Mus musculus: one gene and its partner. The protein of the gene in region 1 purifies or fractionates together with the protein of each later gene. This does not show direct contact. Links are inferred from orthologs where the notes say so. Each region holds a gene or a part of one and is shown in the gene's direction. Other genes may lie near its edges. The genes, in order: Sumo1 and Mitf.

Region 1 (4,450 bases):
CGTGTTTCTTTCCAGCAATAAAAAAACCTAAAACAGGGCTGGTGAGATGGCTCAGTGGGTAAGAGCACTGACTGCTCTTCCGAAGGTCCTGAGTTCAAATCCCAGCAACCACATGGCAGCTCACAACCATCTGTAATGAGATCTAATACCCTATTCTGGAGCATTTGAAGACAGCTACAGTGTACTTACAAATAATAATAAATAAGTCTTTGAGTCAGAGTGAGCAGGGACTGAGAGAGCAGGGTTGACTGGAGTGAGCGGAGCTGACTGGAGCAAGCAGAGATCCTAAATTCAATTCCCAACAACCACATGAAGGCTTGCAACCATCTGCAACATCTACAGTGTACTCATATACATAAAATAAATAAATAAATCTTAAAAAAAAAACCCTAAAACAGTCTTACATAAACACCGTTGAAACATTTTAATTTTGTATATGCAGTGAAATAGGGATTTAAATTCTTTCTCCTTTCGCATGTGAATGTTCAGTATTTTCATTAGTAATTATATTGTACCTACTAATTTTTAATTTTGTATGGGTGTTTTTGTCTGAATGTGTTTATGAACCGCATTCAGGCTTTGGCTTGGTGCTGAAAAAAGTATCTGATTCTTGGGACTAGAGTTACAGGCAGTTTTGAATGCATGCATGGGTGCTGGGACTCAGACTTGAGTCCTCTGGAAGAGTAGCCAGTGCTCTTTGACTACTGGGTCATTTATAGTTGGCTCATTACTATTTACAGAAAAGATTATTTTACTAATGTCTTGTTCTGTGAAGGGTTTTTGATTTAAGTTTTCATTTTTCCCCCTTTACTTATTATAACCTTAATCCTCCTTGAATGCTTGTGCAAGGTCACTGTATTCAAAGGAAGCAGTTTAGGTCTTTCTATGACACAAGGCAACTAGTTTATGCGTTGGAAGGCGCTCCTGCCTACAACTTCAAAACTTTCAGTAGCATTTTAGTTGTCTGTAGCCACCAAGACTTTGTTCTAGCTGGGGGTGTGGTGGCACTTGGGAGGCAGAGGCAAGAGGATCTCTACGAGTTGGAGGCCAGTCTGGTTGACATTGCAATGTTCTATAATAGCCAAGGCTATTAGTGAGACCCTGCCTCAAAACACAAGAACAAAAGATGTGTCCTGAAGGGTCGTCTTTTTGTGCCCCCTCATCTCCCCCGCCCCCAACAGGGTTCTATGTCCTGTCCTGGAACTCACTTTGTAGATGAAGATGGCCACGAACTCACAGAGATCCGGTAGCCTCTGCCTCTATCACCCGGAGTCACGAATGTGGCAACAGCAAGCATGAGGGGCCTATAAAAATACTATACGGGTAATTCACTATATTCAGTGAGGGTTGGTCCGGGCCTCAGAAGCGCGCAAGTCGTCCCACCGGGAGGAGCCTAAGCAGTCAGTTTGACCCCAGACATTCGGCCTGCAGGCAAAGCGCTGGTCTCCCTGAGGGCTGCGGCAGCGGGCCTGATTCTCCCTCCCTCCGAAGTCCTAGCAGTTCTCTTGCTCCAGGCAAGTAGTTTACAACCTGGAGGATTTTAGCCCCCGGCCTTCCTTACGGCGTTTTCCCGCTTCCTTTTCCCGTCTTCGCTAACTCGCCTCTGCGCGCAGCGGAAGTGACGCAAGACGTAGAGGAAGTCCCTGCAGCCGCGGTGTTGTGCTGTAGAGAAGGGACGGATTTGTAAACCTCAGAGTGAGGTTCTGCCTGCCGGAGGCCGCAGTGGTGCGGAGACCCCCGGGTGAATCCACGTCACCATGTCTGACCAGGTACCGGGCCGGGGCCTTAGGGCTCAGGGCCGTCGGCCGCGGGCTGGGGCCCTGGACTGAGGCGCGGGGGAGGGGGCGGCTGGAGAAGGGGGCTGCCCGTGGGGAGGGGGCCGCGAGGGACGCGGGGCGCCTGGCGGAGTCGGGCCAGGCCGCCTGGGACCCCGGGGCTCTGGGTTCCACGCGCCCTCCGCGCCCCTCTCCGAGGCCCCTACCCCCGCGCCACCCGGCGCCGGGGCTCTCTCGACGGCGCCCAGGTTTCTCGCGGGCTCGCAGGGGGCCCAGGCCCGCTCCCTTGTCCCCGAGAGCAAGCTGAGGGGAAAACGACCGTTTCCCTTCGGACGACGGATGGCAGAAACCAGGCCCTAGGCCCAGTTATGTAACGGGAGGGAAATCCCCGACTGGGAGGCTAGGTGGCCCTGAAAAGCAGCTCGACTCCACTTTGGGTTCTTGGTCCCGGAGAGTGGGGGGCGGCCGGGGAGCCGTGTCTGAGGTGACTGGGAGCCCAGAGGACGCTGCTTTTCCGTTGTGTTTGCCTGGAGGGTCCGTCCATCTCTGCACACCTCAGTCTTTTTTTTTTTTTTTTCCTTCCGGGGGTGCGGAACGGTCCGCTCTTTCGCTGTACTTTCCATTTCTTACTCGGGATTGGTCCATCAACTCTCCAGTTCTCAGAGCGCTCAGAATAACCGAGAAACAGCAAACTGTGTATGGAGTGCCACCACCAACAAGCCATTTCGTCTGGGCTTTAACCAGCAGATGCTTGGCACTTTAAAAAAAAATATAGCACGTTTTTTGTTCTTTGATAATCAGATGACGCATTTAGATTATATGCACCCCCAAACCTCTCTTCCAGAAGTTTCTGAACTAATTTTCGAAGAAATAGAGAAAAAAAAAGTTATCCGTGTTGTACAATTGCAGAATATTTGCAGAAAGCTGTCAATTAGTAGTAAAACAGTGTGTCTCGGTTTTGGAATCAAGGATTTGCATGGTATTTGCCTTCAAATAGGAGTGACTCCTTGCCACCTAAATTTTTCTTCATCCTATTTTAGTTACTACCTTTGTGGCTAGTTTTTATATACATAAGGTTTTGGTCTGACTTTGCTTTGGTTTGCTCAGATGACTTAATTTTCAGAGTATTTTTTTTTTAACTTTTTCTTCTTTTGTGATAATTATTCAGTAAACTTTTTCATTCAACTTCACAATGTAGTTGGACTTTTTTAAAAAAAAAATTTGTTGTTGTTGTTTGAGACACGGATTTTCTGTGTAGCCTTGGCTTTCTAGGAACACTCTGTAGACCAGGCTGGCCTCCAATTTATAGAGATCGGCCTGTTTCTGTCTCCTGAGTGCTGGGATAAAAGGCTTGTGCCACCACAGACTGGCCAGGGTGGTTCTATTTTTATAGCCTATCTACACTGTAGACTAATTGTGGCATGGATTTACTTATTAATAATCTGAATTAATCCTCTTTTGGGATAGAAATGACTTTATGAATAATTTGTTTATGACAGTTGTTTACTTAGTTACCAGCTCAGAAAGATCAGCTGTAAATGCTTAAGTCCTGGAACTCTGTAGACCAGGCTGGCCTTGAACTCAGAAATCCCCCACTACCTCCCAAGTGCTGGGATTAAAGGCGTTGCCACCACGCCTGGCCTTTGTTTTTTCTTTTCTTTCTTTCTTTTTTTTTTTTTTTTTTTTCTTTTTTTTTTGGGTTAATGCTTAAGTTTCATCAGCCTTCTATTTTGGAAGAGCTAGAAAGCATGTTAGCCTGAAGAGAGGGCAACACACAGAAAGAGTTCTAAGTTTTAGGATTAGTTTTGCTCTAGTTTGAACTCACATTATATAAGGATATGGAGAAAGAAAGGAGGACCCAAGGGCACACACAGGGTTTCAGGGGATCGCAAAGTCACACTGTTGCTTGCTGTAGCACTCACCTCACTGGTCACCGGGGTTATTAGGTGTTGGACCTAGGGCCTCCCACATGTGCTTGCCAGGCAAGTGCTACAGCCTCATTTTTTCTTTTACTTTGTTTCACTAAGTTGCCTAGGTTGGACTGTAGCACAGCTTGCCTTTGAACTTGAACCTGGACTTCTCTCAGCCTTGCAGAGTAGCTGGGATTACAGAGTTATACTGTCACGCCTAGATGGTGTGTGTGTATGTATGTGTGTGTGTCTGTTTTTCTCATTCATGGATATTCAGTGAAGTTTTTAAGAAACATGACAGAAAAATGGAGCAAATCTTTTTTGTAGCCTTACAGCTTCTCACAGTTTCTTCTGTGTCTATCTCCTGAGTGCTGGGATTAAAGATGTCTACCACCACACCTGGCAAAACAAGTCTTTTTAATTGAGCTACACATTAAAGCAATTTGCATATGAAATAGTGCTGCTACTCTTAGAAATTTTGTCTTTAAAAAAAGTAATAAAAATGTATGCTAACGTTTTTTAGGGGTTATTTATTGATTCAAGTTAAGGGTTTCTCTGTAGCCTTAGTTGTCCTGGAACTTGCTCTATAGATCAGCTTGTCCTCAGATCTGCCGGCCTCTTACTCCCAGAATGTATATACCACCATGGCTCAGTTGATAGGTTTTTATTTTTTTTAATTTATTGTATATATGAGTACATTGTAGCTGTGTTCAGACACAACAGAAGAAGACATCAGATTTCATTACAGAGGGGTATGAGCCACCA
Region 2 (3,814 bases), on another chromosome or scaffold:
AATGGGGATCAAAATGTGTGTAGCACACTCATTCTAAATCAGGGGACCGTCTGGCACTTGGTAGCTGTTGAGAAACCATCACCATTTCCCTTGAAATCTTAAAATATCTCCCAAACATATTACACATTGCTCAGCATTATATTTCTGTTAGCTCCCATTTTGTATTTTTTATTAGCATACGTGCCTTGTACAAAAATATGGGCTTCCCCGTGACATTTTCATGCTCACGTATCTACCATCCCCCACTACTGTCTTGTCCCACCCAGTTTCCTTCCGTTGGCCCTCTTTATCCTTCCCTGTAGAGTCCCCTCTACTGTCATGTCTTATGCATACATACAGGCTTTAAAGAGTCCACATATGAGAGAGAACAGTATTTGCCATGGTCGGGCTTATTCTATTTCACTCAGTGACCTCCAGTTGCATTTATTTCCCTGCAAACAATTTCAGGGTTTCTTTGACCCTGAATACAGCTCTTTTGTGTAGGCATCTCATAGTTTCCCTATCAGCTCATCTGTTGATAGGGAGCATCTAGGTTGACTGCACCCTGGCCATTGTGATCAGCGAAGGCACAGAGACGTGGACATGCAAGCATCTCTATGTTCGCTAAGCCCTTCAAGAAACTACCCAGGGGTAGAATGGGGGGAGCCATGGGGTAATTTTGTTTCTGGTCTTTTGAAGAAGCCCCACACTGGCTGTCAGTGGTGTCTGTACCAGTTCACATTTCCTCACCAGTGTGGTGAGGGTCCCTGTCTCCTCACAGCAAGCACCTTTGCCAGCATTTGCTGTAGGTGGTTTTTGTTTTGTTTTGTTTTTTGATGTTGGCCAGTCTGACTTGAGTGCTTATCCTTGTCTTAATCCTTAATATCTGTAAGACTGTTTCTATTTGTAATTCATAATAAAAATATATACCATCTAAAAGGATATTTCCTATACTCCTAATACCACCTGTCTTTGGGAAATGCAGAATTTATTTTTGAAAAGTAGCAAGCTTTGCTTTGACAGTTTATAGTTGTCCCCAGGTCTGATGTCTTAAAAATAGAAAATAGACTTCAGTCTTTAAAAGCAGTCTCAGGTTCACAGTACAGTAGAATATAAGCGCTAGAGAGCTCCACATGTCACTACATGTCATCCAACATGCAGTCCCCCGGATCATCAAAATGGACACCTCAGTGGCCCCTTTGTTAGAACTGGTTTCTCCTTGTCCTCCAAAACCTTAGGTAGAGACACTAATGGGGATATATATTCCATGCATTTGGGTAACCGCACCTAACACTGCTTGCACAGTTTCTTCCTTAACTGTCTGACTCTGACTTTATCGTAGGAGCTGGAGATGCAGGCTAGAGCGCATGGACTTTCCCTTATCCCATCCACCGGTCTCTGCTCGCCTGATCTGGTGAATCGGATCATCAAGCAAGAACCAGTTCTTGAGAACTGCAGCCAGGAACTTGTACAGCACCAGGCAGACCTGACATGTACGACAACTCTGGATCTCACGGACGGTACCATCACCTTTACCAACAACCTCGGCACCATGCCGGAGAGCAGCCCGGCCTACAGCATCCCCAGGAAGATGGGCTCCAACTTGGAAGACATCCTGATGGACGATGCCCTCTCACCTGTTGGAGTCACCGACCCACTGCTGTCATCAGTGTCGCCAGGAGCTTCAAAAACAAGCAGCCGGAGGAGCAGTATGAGCGCAGAAGAAACGGAGCATGCGTGTTAGCGAGCCTGCCTTGCTCTGCCTCTGCACGGACCGCTCCCTCTCTTCTTCAGGAGACTTTATAATTTACCTGAAGAGGTTTTCTTGATAATTTTCCTTTAATATGAAATTTTCGTGCTTTATCAGTAGCCCAGGATATATTTTATTTTTAGAATTTTGTGAGCCAGACTTGTATATTCTATTTTACAACTACAAAGGCCTCCTAAGTATTGTACCTTCAGCGTGCAGTATCTGTGAACTGATTTCTCCAAGTGTGAGCTTTCTGAGCAAGGGGATTTTTTTGCTTCAGAGAAGTAAGTGTCTGTCCGTTTTCATTCAGGGGAAAACTTGGTGTGAGCTTTGTCTGTCTGTGACCTCCTTTGAAATTAACATGTAAAGTTTAATTACACGAATGTAAAGCAACCAAAAGAAGAAAACAAAGAAGATGATGATTATGATAGAAGAAGGAGAAGAGGAGGAAGAGGAAGAGGAGGAGGAAGAGGAGGAAGAAAGATGGTGGGAAAGACATCCAAGACTTTCTCGCTTTCTAAATGCGGCAATTTCCTGGTACTGCCTTAAAGACACAGTGCCCTCCCTTCCTTCCAGCGTTTCTATGTCTTTGTACTGAAAACTGCGTAAAGAAGAATATATTACATACAGACAAATCTAGCAGTCATTTTCATGAGGATTGTCTGGCTAGAAAATGTAACTTATGCTAACCCAAACTGAAAGAAGTTATTAGACCAAGGCATGAAACATAGGATCTGACCTGCTGGCTTTTATTGGGCACAGTTATAGTTTTCCTCATAAGTGTGATTAAATTTTTCATAAGGTTTTTTTGAAATGGAAATGAATGTCCTCTCTGAGGACACCGGATGTTTGTTTCACTTTTTTTTCTTTTTTTTTTTTTCTTTTTCCATTTTTGCTTTTGATAAAGACAACTGAACTGGGCACATTTCTAATTGGCTTTACTATTTTTATTTTTAAATTATGTTTTAGCCATTTTAATTGTATAGATTCTTTATTATCATCATTTTTTTCAGTGTTTGTATTAATTTGTAAGAATATGCATCTTAAAACAGTGAGTTTTCAATACTTTTACAACTCATTGGTGTTCTCTGCATTCTTTGTACACCCAAGAAAGACTACTTTTATGCAAGGTCTTGTGTTCAAAGAGAGCTTTGCAAATATTTTGTATATTCCACTATCACTTGAAACTGTTTTTCAACACATTTAAGGTGTAGTATTAATAGGTTAACAACCAGGCTTTCTAGAAAAAAATACTTACATATGTATTTCTAGGGTATTAAAATAACTATATTCTTGAAGATTGATAGCCATAGCATTTACCATGCCCATGATGGTCAATTCAATTAGGATTTATTTCAACACACCGGCTAGATTCTTTTTAAAAAGAGAAACACTGTATTGGCAGATTACTTGATAACAACATTTTGACCAAGTGGCAACATTGTAAAGTTAGTGTCTGTGCATTGCTTACTTGCATAACCCTATGCAATATCTGTAGAGTTACATGTATCAAGTCTAGATGTTTTGTGCAGGTGATACATACTGGTACAAGCCAGGCTGCCTAATGGAATTTCTCAGTAGCAGCCTACGATTGAATCCTGTGTGGCATAAAGCATACCCTTTCAGAATGAAGTGCCTTAAAAATCTCAGCAGTCTCTTTTGGACCAGCACTGACTGAACTGTAACTAGGAGAAAGTTTCAAGATGGAATCTGGAGTGAAGAAGGAAGACGTAGCGTGGTGCCTCTGTAGACATTCTAAGAGCTTCCAATTTCCCTTCAGATATTTTTAATATGAAATATATTTTACTGACAGTGCCAAATTCTTTCATCAGGAAACCTTTCTCAGGAGGGTTTTTTTTTTTTAAAGTGTTTAAATGTCAAATGTGAATTGGTGATGGGTGATGGAGAGATCCAAGAGCAGTGATTGTCAGATGTATGAATGGATGGCCTTGGTGAGATTCGTCAAGTGCGCGGTTCCCATGCATGTTGGGTAATGCAAATCTTTGGAAACACTGATGATGCTATCCAGTCTTGTAGCTTTATTACTTAAGGGGGTAGGGAAAATAAGTTCCCATTCTTTCAACT

What was found.
Region 2: the proteins of Sumo1 (region 1) and Mitf purify together in Homo sapiens (affinity purification with western blotting; 3 studies listed by BioGRID and IntAct, with this or other methods). This does not show direct contact. The link is inferred for Mus musculus from reciprocal best matches to the Homo sapiens genes SUMO1 and MITF.

What each region holds. Positions count from the first base shown.
Region 1 is NC_000067.6:59,667,999-59,672,448, reverse strand, and holds the start of Sumo1 (small ubiquitin-related modifier 1), read left to right. Parts: upstream 1-1,614; 5' UTR 1,615-1,757; coding exon 1,758-1,769; intron 1,770-4,450. UniProt on the Homo sapiens protein: Ubiquitin-like protein that can be covalently attached to proteins as a monomer or a lysine-linked polymer.
Region 2 is NC_000072.6:98,016,453-98,020,266, forward strand, and holds part of Mitf (microphthalmia-associated transcription factor), read left to right. Parts: intron 1-1,321; coding exon 1,322-1,723; 3' UTR 1,724-3,814. UniProt on the Homo sapiens protein: Transcription factor that acts as a master regulator of melanocyte survival and differentiation as well as melanosome biogenesis.